Danio rerio: one gene and its partners. The protein of the gene in region 3 purifies or fractionates together with the protein of the main gene of each other region. This does not show direct contact. Links are inferred from orthologs where the notes say so. Each region holds a gene or a part of one and is shown on either strand. Other genes may lie near its edges.

Region 1 (3,167 bases), on a different chromosome or scaffold from region 3:
TCAAGAGCACTCTGCAGGTCTTCATTCAGGATGTCTCTGTACATCGCTGCATTCATCTTTCCCTCTATCCTGACTAGTCTTCCAGTTCCTGCTGCTGAAACACATCCCCACAGCATGACGTTCAATTTTAGTCTCAGAGCAGAGAGTTTAGTTTCTGATGCTCTGAGAGTCCTTCACATTGGTAAACTCCAGGCGGGGAGTGTCTTCCGTCTGGTCACTCTACCATACAGGCCTGATTGGTGGATTGCTGCACAGATAGTTGTCCTTCTGTAAGGTTCTCTTCTCTCCACAGAAGAACGCTGGAGCTCAGACAGAGTGACCATCGGGTTATTGATCACCTCCCTGACTAAGGCCATTCTCCCCCGATCACTCAGCTTACATGGCCGAGGTTCAGCGAAAGGCTGTGAATACTGATGTACACGTGATTTTACAGCTTTTTTATTTTCAATAAATTTGCAACAATTTTAAAAACTTTTTCACATTGTCATTCTGGGGGATTGTGAGTAGAATGTTGAGGAAATAAATTGATTTAATTCATTTTTGCATAAGGCTGTGACATAAAAAGTGGAAAAAGCGCTATCAATATTGTCTAAATGCACTGTATGTCATTGGGGTGATTGGGGAGAAAGAGTTATCAGCGTTTTTTTTTCCCTGTTGTAAAGTCATGCTGTGCGTAATTTCCTGTCACTGATCCATTATACAATGTGAACACAGCAGCAATGGATTTTGACCCCAGATAGTCGTGCAATGTCAATATTAAATAACTGTTCGAATGTTGAATTATGCTATAGTAAGTTCTGCAGTCTTTTTTACACTATGAATAACCTTTTTTTAACATTTCCAACACAATCTCATCAATCTGACTTTCTGACTCATGAATATATTGTTTCTGTGAGAGAGCAGATTTCACTCTACAGCATATCGTCTAAACAGCATATTGGTTAAGTGTCATTAATGTGATTCTCTCTTAATGATTATTTAAAAACAACATGGAAGTTCTACACATCATTTTTTAAAGAATTGGTTAAGAAACTCTGGTCAGGATCTACTACGCTTTTCAACGATGGTACATTTAATTGTCAAAAAACCCCTTAGTGCACCATCCACTAGTGCTTTTCCCATAAAAGACAGTCTTTTAACAATGCATTTGTTGTTACCAAACAGAAAAAAATACTACTAATAAAAAAAGAAGTCCATTGCATAAAAAATAAAGCATTTACAGATTTAAAATGTCTCAGTCCTGTGGCTTCATGAAAGCTCGTTTGGGTCTAATATCATCAGTGACGTTGCAGTTGACATCCTCTTTGTTTGAGACAGCACTGCGATCTCTTTTCTTGGCGAACTTTTTCCTCATGCTCTCAACCAAACTTTGATACCTGTAAAACAAAAGCAAAAATCAAGGTTTTCATCTGCTGGTGATGTCCACATTCGAAACCATTACAATTTTGTTTCGAACCAGTGGTTTCGGTGCGCATTTCCAATTGGCAAGGTCACAGGATTTCATTCAAATTGAGCTTCGTTATGGTCAATATGGTTTCGAAATTGCTTCCCCACAAGGGGGCGATCTGTGCAATATAAAATCTACAAGAATCACGCAGATTCATTCAGGTCGCCCCCCAGTGGCCAATCACTGAACAGGTTTCACTGATTGATCTCGGATTAGTTTTACAAATTTTGTTAAATATTTTAAGGAGATGTGTATAAAATGAAAAGGAGTAATGGTTAAAAGTAGCTAATAGTCTCCTCCTGGCCTGTTTAGCAGTTTAACAAGCAATATATAAGCCTTGAAAACATCTAAATGAAAGAACATTATGCAGAGACTTAACATTTAATGATCTTAGATGACGAGCCAAGTTTATTTATAGGTTAAACTTTCAATTTTAATATGTTTGGGAGTCAATTCTAATGCATCTTTTGTTTGAGTGTTGACCAGCAGGGGTTTCTAGCATGTGCGGTTTCGAATTGCTTTAGCGAAGTAATTGGTAAAATTGTTTAGACGCTTCATTTCATCACTATCCTCGTATATATATATAACAGATGTGTAGATTACAGATGTATTTGTCCTTGCTCACCTTTTGGCCATCTCTTCATCCGTAATATCGGTTTCCATTTTGTTCATGCTCTCGTCCTCCTCTTCTTCATCCTCTTCCTCTCTTGGTGCGTTCATTAGTAACATTAATTTCTGCAACAGATTCAGACTTGTGATGAATAAACCCCACTTTAGATTACAGGTGGCTATCAGTGGCTATAATTAGAGCAAGACGTGCATTTTCAGCTCATTGTTAAAGGCACAGTATGTAAATTTAGCCACTAGAGGGCGTGTATTCACAACAAACAAAGGTGTGTTTTGATGACTGAGTGAAAAATAAAGATATAATAAACTGTTCAAGTGGCTTTTGAATATGTTAATACAAATAAAATCATACATATTGTGCCTTTAGCTTATTCTTCAGATTATGCTCCAATAACGTGAACACAATAATTGAGAACAGTTAACAAAACGGAAGCAAACGGCTGTAAACGGATGAAAGCTGTACCTCCACGTCAGGATTGAAGCCTTTGAATGACATTCTGCCGTAAACCAGATCCTCACAGGGAACGAAACTTCTCTCCTCGATGATGTGGTTTCTGGCAAAGTTAAAAATACCTTGTAATTTTGTCAATTTAAGAGACATTTTGATAAACCATCAGATATCCATAAGGCAACGAATATTTGCTAATGTCAGACTGCATTAGAACTAGAATCATTTTTAATGGGGTACATGCATTAGGACTTTCATTTTAAAGTGTCCTGGTTCAAACGCTGTATGCTAGGGCTGTGCAATTTGGGGAAAATATCTTAATTGCAAAATTTTTTTAACAGATATTTAGATTTGATTTGCAATTTAATATTGTAGACATTTTAGGTACTGGTTGTATTTCCTCATGCCTGCAACAATCCTGCGGCAGCTCTTACAAATAACCTTTTTTTGTTTGGTGTCTGTGAACAAAATATTCCCATATCACTGACGTGCGTTTTTTTCTTTAATAATATTTAGTCTATTAATGCGGAAGACGCCATCATCCCACTCATCTGTTTGTTTGTTTTATTGTGGGCGTTCCCCATAATCCGGCAGTGCAATTCTGATTGGGCAGGATGAAAGCGTGCACACTTAATTGGCTTGTAA
Region 2 (3,659 bases), on a different chromosome or scaffold from region 3:
ACACAAAATCTGCAGAAATTCACTTCTGGTCCGAGCCCCTCCCCTGGAGAACAGGCATGGGCCGGTATTGCATTCTGACGGTATGGATAAAATATCACGGTTTCACGGTGTTGTGTTTACTGCTTTAAAATATATTATTTTTAAACGTCTGGTTAAAAAAAAAATCTAAAACTTTTTTCCCTTTTGAACACAATAAATTTTATTTTGAGAAACATTTATGATATTTTGTTGCAGTAAACATGTCAGGCTGAATAATGAAAGTGAATTATTGACTTCTGCTATCTTTATTTGTTTTAAAAACAGATTTCTTTACAGTTTAAAACAGCCTTTTTTGATATTTTTTTCTGCTGGAGATACTGTTTCCCTAAAAACTAAATTAAAATAATGTAAATAAAAAAATCTTAGCAGAAAATGTTGGCGGTTTTAAAACCTTGACTTTTTCAAACCACGGTATACCTTGAAAACGGTTATCGTCTAATGCCAGCTAGAGAATCTTTAGTTTACAGTGATAGCTGATTGGCTCGTGTACTAGAAGGTGAGGCTTCATTCGCAATATTGACCAGTACCAAAGTCCCTTTAAGGCAAGTCATTTCACTCGGTGGCCATCTTTGAAGCGGCTCTCTCTGCCATTCTGTCTGAAAGGAGAAACATCAAATTCTCTAAAACTACTAGCCAAGCTTGCGATTACATATTACGAATAACCAATAAAACTAAACAACAGCTGTCTATTTAGTTTAATTTCTAAATGTTTGTATCACACAAAATCTGCAGAAACTAACATCTGGTCCAAACCCCTACCCCGGAGAATTGTCATTCTATAACGATCACTGATTGGCTCCTGTACTAAAAAGTGGGCTTTAGTCACCATATAGCGATTGCTGATTGGCTCCTGTACTAGAAAGCGGGGCTTCAATCGCCATATTGACAATTACACATTTCCCCATTCAAAAGTATACGAGTGACATCTCTTGTGTATTCTATAGTCTTTGCCGTTACATTTTTCCCAAATTCAAAACTAAACACATGACATCTCTTGTGTATTCTATAGTCTTTCACTGCAGTAGGGCATAACCCTAGTAACACAACAAACAAACACATGTACTGGATCTTGACTAGAACCTAATTAAAAAAATAATAATTTCAAAAACATTCCCATTCCTAGCATGTGTATATTTATATCATTTTTAACTTAAGCTCTACAAAAGCATAAATACAAGGAGATTCAGGGAATCATAAATTTAAGAAGTGTTCCATATCCCAAACCAGCACTCCTGATAACCTTCTCTGCATACTCTTTAGGCTTCTGCCACTTTAATTGTTCATGCTCATTAGAGTCAGGAAGAGTTTAATTGGCTGTTGATGTTTTTATGCTTCATTCGCTGGAAGACAATAATTCTAAATGTGATCTAAAGATATGGTGTGGACTTCATTGTCTTTATATATAAAGAAAAGGTAAAAATGTATATTGTTAGATTTTATTCTTTGTGTGAATGCAGCAGTGCTATAATTTGTCATATTTTTATATAATGGATCAGTGATTACTAATGTTGTCTCTCTTCAGGCAGAGGTAGTAGCTCAAAAGAGGAAATCAATGACCCCTAAACGAAAGGTGTGTTGACATTCATTCAACAGATTGTTTTTATTATTGTTGTTAATATGCCTCAATACCAATATGCATATTTTATATGGCTCAGTATGCCTTGAACTGGTGCAAGGAGTTTATTCCTTACTGCTGTTGTTTTACAGCCACAGTCTACTTTATTCGGACCCCATGACACGTCACGCTCCTCTGAAAGTGACTTCCTGGACCTTTCTTCTTTTGGTAGGTGTAAATAATAATAAGAATGTCATGAGTGTTTATTTGCCTTTAATTTTTATATTTTAAATAAGTTTGATGATTAGATTAATGTTTTCTGCACTGGTGTAGAAACCCCAACCAAACCTGGAATGCTGTTCTCAGAGGAAGATGAGGAAAGTGTGGATAGAGAGAAAAAATCAGTGCATGGTCTGACTGCTCCAGCAAAAATCAGTCTATTTGCGGTGAGTAGTTGATGATGATGATGATGGTGATGATGACGATCATGATGATGATGAAGAAGCCTTTATTTGTCACATACACTGTTACATGTAGCGAAATTGGACTCCTCCGACCATACACACGTCACACATTTCAGGGATAGACAGGTCAGATGAGCGGTATCTTTAGAAAGAGAAAATAAGATATATTAGGGGAAAAAGCCCCTCCCAGACTGTCCTTAAAGTAGGGCAGTGTGAGGTCAGGGGAAGAACAAGCCCCAGCAAGAAGCACATAAACACATAGACATAACATCGCAATGGGGTATGTGGAGATAATCATATGTAGGCAACAGCCATTCAGTCCTGCAGCTGAAAAGCACATGAGTATATACTTTATATTAACATATTTATAAATATTTGCATTAAAGTTTTTTTTTTTGAGAAAAAGATTGGCGAAGCAGGTCAAAATTTGTATATTTTTGAAAACTAGATTTATATATATTTATATATATATATTAGGGGTGTAACGATATTAAAACCGAACCGAAATATCGCGATACACCAACCACGATACATATCGCGAAACTCTGAACCAATTTAAACACATCTTTATTATCACATTTGATTAAATTATTTTAGTAATGATGAGGATTTGTTCTAAATATTATATTCTAAAGTTAGTATTTTAGTGCATGTTATGTCATGTGACTTGAGTAAGCATCACACTCGTTACTACTGGACGCAGGATGGCTGCTTCACATAGTACTGAGATTGCAGATTCCCCAGACACATTTAAGTCATCTGTGTGGAAACATTTTGGTTTTCCAGTTGAGTACAGGAATAGAATTCATGTCGTAGACAAAGCACACGCCTGTCTGTCTAAACTGTTTCACGAAACTTACTTGTAAGGAAAAACATTTAAAAAGTGTGGTAATTTCACAATGTGAGGGTGTAAGCAACAGAACTGCCAACAAAAGTGATTTAATGTACAAAAGTGAAACCAGAATAATGCCCAAATATACAAAAAAGAGAAATATTTACACTAATAAAAATAATATAATAAAGTAACAAATTCAAACAAAAGTATCAAACAAAAATTAGTTAAACTCGAGCAAGGGGGTGATAGTGAAGACAAACAAAAGAAATAAATATAACAAAACAATTCTAACTCATGAATAACCCCTTACCTTGCTAAAACTGATGAAAAGAAAAAAAGGTCTTCAGCGCCGTGCGCCGCATTCTTCCCTATACTGAATAAAACAAACAAAGATGACCTTCACCTCTTACCTGATGTCTTTAACAATACATTTTCTACGTGTTTGCAAAATGGAAATCGTATGACATTTTCCCTATCCACCTTACACTAAGACTGAACTTGAGGAGATACAGCTGTATTGTCGGGAAGGAGCGGAGCCAAAAAATAATATACAAATCAATTGAAATAAAAATGTACAAACCTCACAAAATTACTTAAAGTGGGCAAAAGTAATGCAAAATAATTTTGCCTAAACGAAAGTTAAGCAAAAACAACGAAAATCATAATCATGTCAGAAAAATACACAAAAAACGAGATCAAAGGAAAAAGCGCTCTCTCTCCCGCTCTTCCTGACATGCTTTTCACATTCCCGCGCTGCGTCGCCAAA
Region 3 (4,096 bases):
TTAACCTCAGAATAACAATGTGCGCTAGCAAAATAAACATTGTAAATTTCGATTTCACACAGACTTTTAAGTGATTTTTTTGTTAGTTGTATTAAAGCTATGGCTAATTTTTAGAAAGGCAACAGTAACTCAAATAAGCACCTGTCACAACCGAGGTCTGCAGAAGAGCATTTCTGAACACACAACACGCCCAATCTTGAGGCAGATGGGCTACAGCAGCAGAAGACCACACCGGGTGCCGCTCCTGTCAGCTAAGAACAGGAAACTGAGGCTACAATTCACACAGGCTCACCAAAACTGGACAATAGAAGATTGGAGAAACGCCGCACGGTCTGATGAGTCTCCATTTCTGCTGCCACATTTGGATGGTCGGGTAAGAATTTGGCATCAACAACATGAAGGCATGGATCCATCCTGCCTTGTATCAACAGTTCAGGCTGGAGGTGGTGGTGTGATGGTGTGGGGGATATTTTCTTGGCACACTTTGGGCTCATTAGCACCAAAAAAACATCATGTCAGCAGCCAACAGAGTATTGTTGCTGACCATGTCCATCCCTTATGACCACAGTGTACCCATCTTCTGATGGCTACTTCCAGCAGGATAACACACCATGTCATAAAGCGTGAATCATCTCAGACTGGTTTCTTGAACATGACAATGAGTTCACTGTACTCAAATGGCCTCCACAGTCACCATAACTCAATCCAATAGAGCACCTTTGGGGTGTGGAGGAAAGGGAGATTCGCATCATGGATGTGCAGCCGACAAATCTGCAGCAACTGCAGGATGCTTCCATGTCAATATGGAGCAAAATCTCTGAAGAATATTTCCAGTACCATGTTGAGTCTCTGCCAGGAAAGATTAAGGCAGTTCTGAAGGCAAAAGGGGGTCCAACCCTGTACTAGGAAGGTATACCTAATAAAGTGGCCAGTCAGTGTATATTCTCTCAAAACGTTTACATTTACTGCCACAATACTCTTTCGTGCTCTTTTGTTACATTTATGTATTAGAAACTAATGTGTACCATAAATATGTACTCATTTGTATAATTGTTTCATTTGTATTCATGATTTATGTATCTAACGTTAATAAAAAACTAAAAAATATACTGCCACAACAAATATGGCGGTTTGCTTAACCCACACATGCTGAACTGACCAATCAGAGCGCGAGCTCCTGTCAGACTAATATCCAATCACAAGGCTCATCTTGCTTCTTGAAAACATGTCGCCCATGAAGCTGTGTGTTCCAGGTGGGTCGCTGTTATTCACATGTTTTTTGGGGGATTACTTTTATGTTTGGCGTCTTATTGCTGACATATCTTGGCTATGTGTTGATCCTTTATGCATATAGTGACATTTTATGAGCTTTGATGTAAGTTGCGGATAGTTTTGCGTCTCGAAGCGTTCACGTGTACTGCTGTAGGGCTGAATCGTCAGCACGCGCGACTGTTATGACGCTGTAAACAAGTCTCATGTCTTCGACTTCAGTCAACATATGCCAATAAAGATGCTATTTTAGCTGATTGCAAGCACACTGTAAATAATCGCGTTTGTGGATGAGTTTGTGGGGTTTAAAGACTCGTTTGGCGAGCCCTGCCCACCGCCCGGGGCTGTCATGCATACCTGCCCTCAAACACTCGCTCTTCTGCCTCTACACGATCCGCTGACGCGATCTGCTCTCATCACTTTAGGCTTGATTTGCTTCAGGAAATCCAGATTTATGATGTTTATTTGTGGACTGCATTTGTAGCTGAATATAATTGCAACTCTTCGTTTAGTCGGGAGTGGAAAGTCTCGTAATCACTTACTAGCTAGATATGCACTAGTGTAAATGTATATACACTTATATACACTTAGCCAGAGCTTTTGTGTAAGAGGTTTTGTTTTAGTTGAAATGTAAACCTGCTTGTTTTTGTTAATGGACTATTTTGTTGTAATGCATTTATTTATTATTATTTTATCATTCTATTATTTTATTATATTTATTATTTTATTTTTCATTATTTAAAATAGTTATAATATTTGACATATATTGACATTAAGTGTGTGTGTGTTACAAATTGTATATAAATTTAAATATCTATCTTTTCAAAACTGTTTTTTATGTTTCACATGTACATAATATATACATGTTTAACACACGCACATAAAAATACTACTGAAGAAAACATTAAAGGAAATACTTTGAAAATGCCTTTGGTCTATTAAACATGGTCTGGGAAATATTTGAAAAATATGAAATATTGAAATATTTCACATAACTGTACCTTTATCATACTTATTTCTTGGCTGAAATAAGCATTCATAGTAAACAGACCAAATCTCATGTCCTAATCATAAAGTCACTATGTTATAAGTTTATTACAATTATTATGCAGTTAATAGACTAATTTTAACATGTCAGCTTGAGGCCAAACTGTGGATGTGTTTGTGTTCGTCATGGCTTATAGACTCTCTATTATGACAGCAGTACTGTACATGATTTATGCATTTTTCTGTAGCATGCCTCACGTGTGTGTGTGTGTGTGTGTGTCCTGCAGGCGAAAGGCTTTGCAGCACAGAGGACTGTATTCCTGGTACAGGCACGTATCTGCGGCACGGCTACATCTTCGCTTCACTAGCAGGATACGTGCTGAGGAAGAATGAGGGAGAGGAGGTCAGTTCACCTCTGCTGCTCTCATGCAGATTAAATTTCAGCTTAGAAGTCCATGTTTCTTCATAACCGAGTACTTAATTTTCCTCCCGACTTGATTTCTAGTTGCCGGTGATTTCAGTTGTTAGAGAGACAGAAGCGCAACTTTTGCCTGACGTCGGTGCGATCGTCACCTGTAAGGTATATCGGTTTTGATATATCTTAATCTGTCACATGTGTCTTTGTTAGCCATTTACAGATTATTACGAAAGTTGAAGAAACACAGTTTTTGGGCAATAAGCTCATTTTACAGCTCTCCTGAAGTTAAACAAGTGAGTTTGACCATTTTTGAATCCATTCAGCTGATCTTCAGGTCTGGCTGGAGCTCTTTTAGCTTAGCTTAGCATAAGTCATTAAATTGGATTAGACCATTAGCATGTTGCTGCAAACATTATTTAAACATTTATATGATATTCCAATTTAAAGGTTGAGTTTTCTGTTGTTACATTAAGTACTAAGACTCACAGAAAATGAAATGTTGCTCTTTTTTTAGGCTGATTTGGTTATAGGGACTATACACTCATTCCGGCGTAATAATCAAGAAACTTTGCTGCACCATGGATACAGCAGAAACAATGATATTATGCATCGCTGTTACCCTGCTGGTGTTGTTTTAAGGTGCTTTTCATCATCATTGGTCCTGCTTCACTCATTGGTACAGCGGCAAATTTCTTTGTTCATACACCAGTATGAGAGTATAGTTCCTATAACCAAATTGGTCTAGAAAATAGCAACTTTTAATTTTTCGTTGGTCTTGGTACATGATGCAGTTATAAAAGGGTCAAGCTTTAAATAGGTAAATGATCAAAACTCCTTACTCAATTTTGCATGAAATGCTAATGGACTAATCTGATTTAATGATCTATGCTAAGCTAAACTAAACGTGTTCTGGAGATCGGCTGAATTGATTCAAAAATGGTAAAACTCTTGGAGAACTATAAAATGAGCCTTTTCAATAAAAGTAAAGTGTTCCTTTAAGGTTTCGACTGCATGTGTGTTGTACTTTGTTCAACTGTAATTTATGACTGTATTTATGTATTGAAAGTGTATTGAATATGCATGTTTTTCCTCACCCTTTCCAGGTGACGAGTATCAACCCAAGGTTTGCTAAAGTGCACATCTTATATGTGGGTTCGACACCGCTAAAGGACAGGTTCAGAGGCACAATCAGGTACAGATGTTTGCATATCAGTAAATCTGCTATTATAATATACAGTGATCCCTCGTTAATCACTGGAGTTACACTCTAAAAATAACCTGCAATAGGTGAAATCCGAGAAGTAGTATTATTGTTGTATTATTAATTATTCTAGATGTTTTAAGGCTGTGAAACCCCTCACGACACTCCTTTTTCCAGATAGGCATTAATATTTTCACACTTTTCTTTCTTGTTTAAACATT

What was found.
Region 1: the proteins of exosc1 (region 3) and mphosph6 purify together in Homo sapiens (affinity purification with mass spectrometry; 5 studies listed by BioGRID and IntAct, counting the BioPlex papers as one, with this or other methods). This does not show direct contact. The link is inferred for Danio rerio from reciprocal best matches to the Homo sapiens genes EXOSC1 and MPHOSPH6.
Region 2: the proteins of exosc1 (region 3) and exosc10 purify together in Homo sapiens (co-immunoprecipitation; 8 studies listed by BioGRID and IntAct, counting the BioPlex papers as one, with this or other methods). This does not show direct contact. The link is inferred for Danio rerio from reciprocal best matches to the Homo sapiens genes EXOSC1 and EXOSC10.

The regions. Positions count from the first base shown.
Region 1 is NC_133200.1:38,538,550-38,541,716, forward strand, and holds the end of mphosph6 (M-phase phosphoprotein 6), read right to left. Parts: intron 2,728-3,167; exon of another isoform or gene 2,676-2,727; coding exon of another isoform or gene 2,629-2,675; coding exon 2,538-2,628; intron 2,183-2,537; coding exon 2,073-2,182; intron 1,377-2,072; coding exon 1,235-1,376; 3' UTR 536-1,234; downstream 1-535. UniProt on the Homo sapiens protein: RNA-binding protein that associates with the RNA exosome complex. Involved in the 3'-processing of the 7S pre-RNA to the mature 5.8S rRNA and play a role in recruiting the RNA exosome complex to pre-rRNA; this function may include C1D.
Region 2 is NC_133198.1:16,330,567-16,334,225, forward strand, and holds part of exosc10 (exosome complex component 10), read left to right. Parts: intron 1-1,561; coding exon 1,562-1,609; intron 1,610-1,746; coding exon 1,747-1,822; intron 1,823-1,927; coding exon 1,928-2,040; exon of another isoform or gene 2,041-2,539; intron 2,540-3,659. UniProt on the Homo sapiens protein: Catalytic component of the RNA exosome complex which has 3'->5' exoribonuclease activity and participates in a multitude of cellular RNA processing and degradation events.
Region 3 is NC_133176.1:58,184,284-58,188,379, reverse strand, and holds the start of exosc1 (exosome complex component CSL4), read left to right. Parts: upstream 1-1,212; 5' UTR 1,213-1,225; coding exon 1,226-1,253; intron 1,254-2,543; coding exon 2,544-2,659; intron 2,660-2,761; coding exon 2,762-2,836; intron 2,837-3,777; coding exon 3,778-3,866; intron 3,867-4,096. UniProt on the Homo sapiens protein: Non-catalytic component of the RNA exosome complex which has 3'->5' exoribonuclease activity and participates in a multitude of cellular RNA processing and degradation events.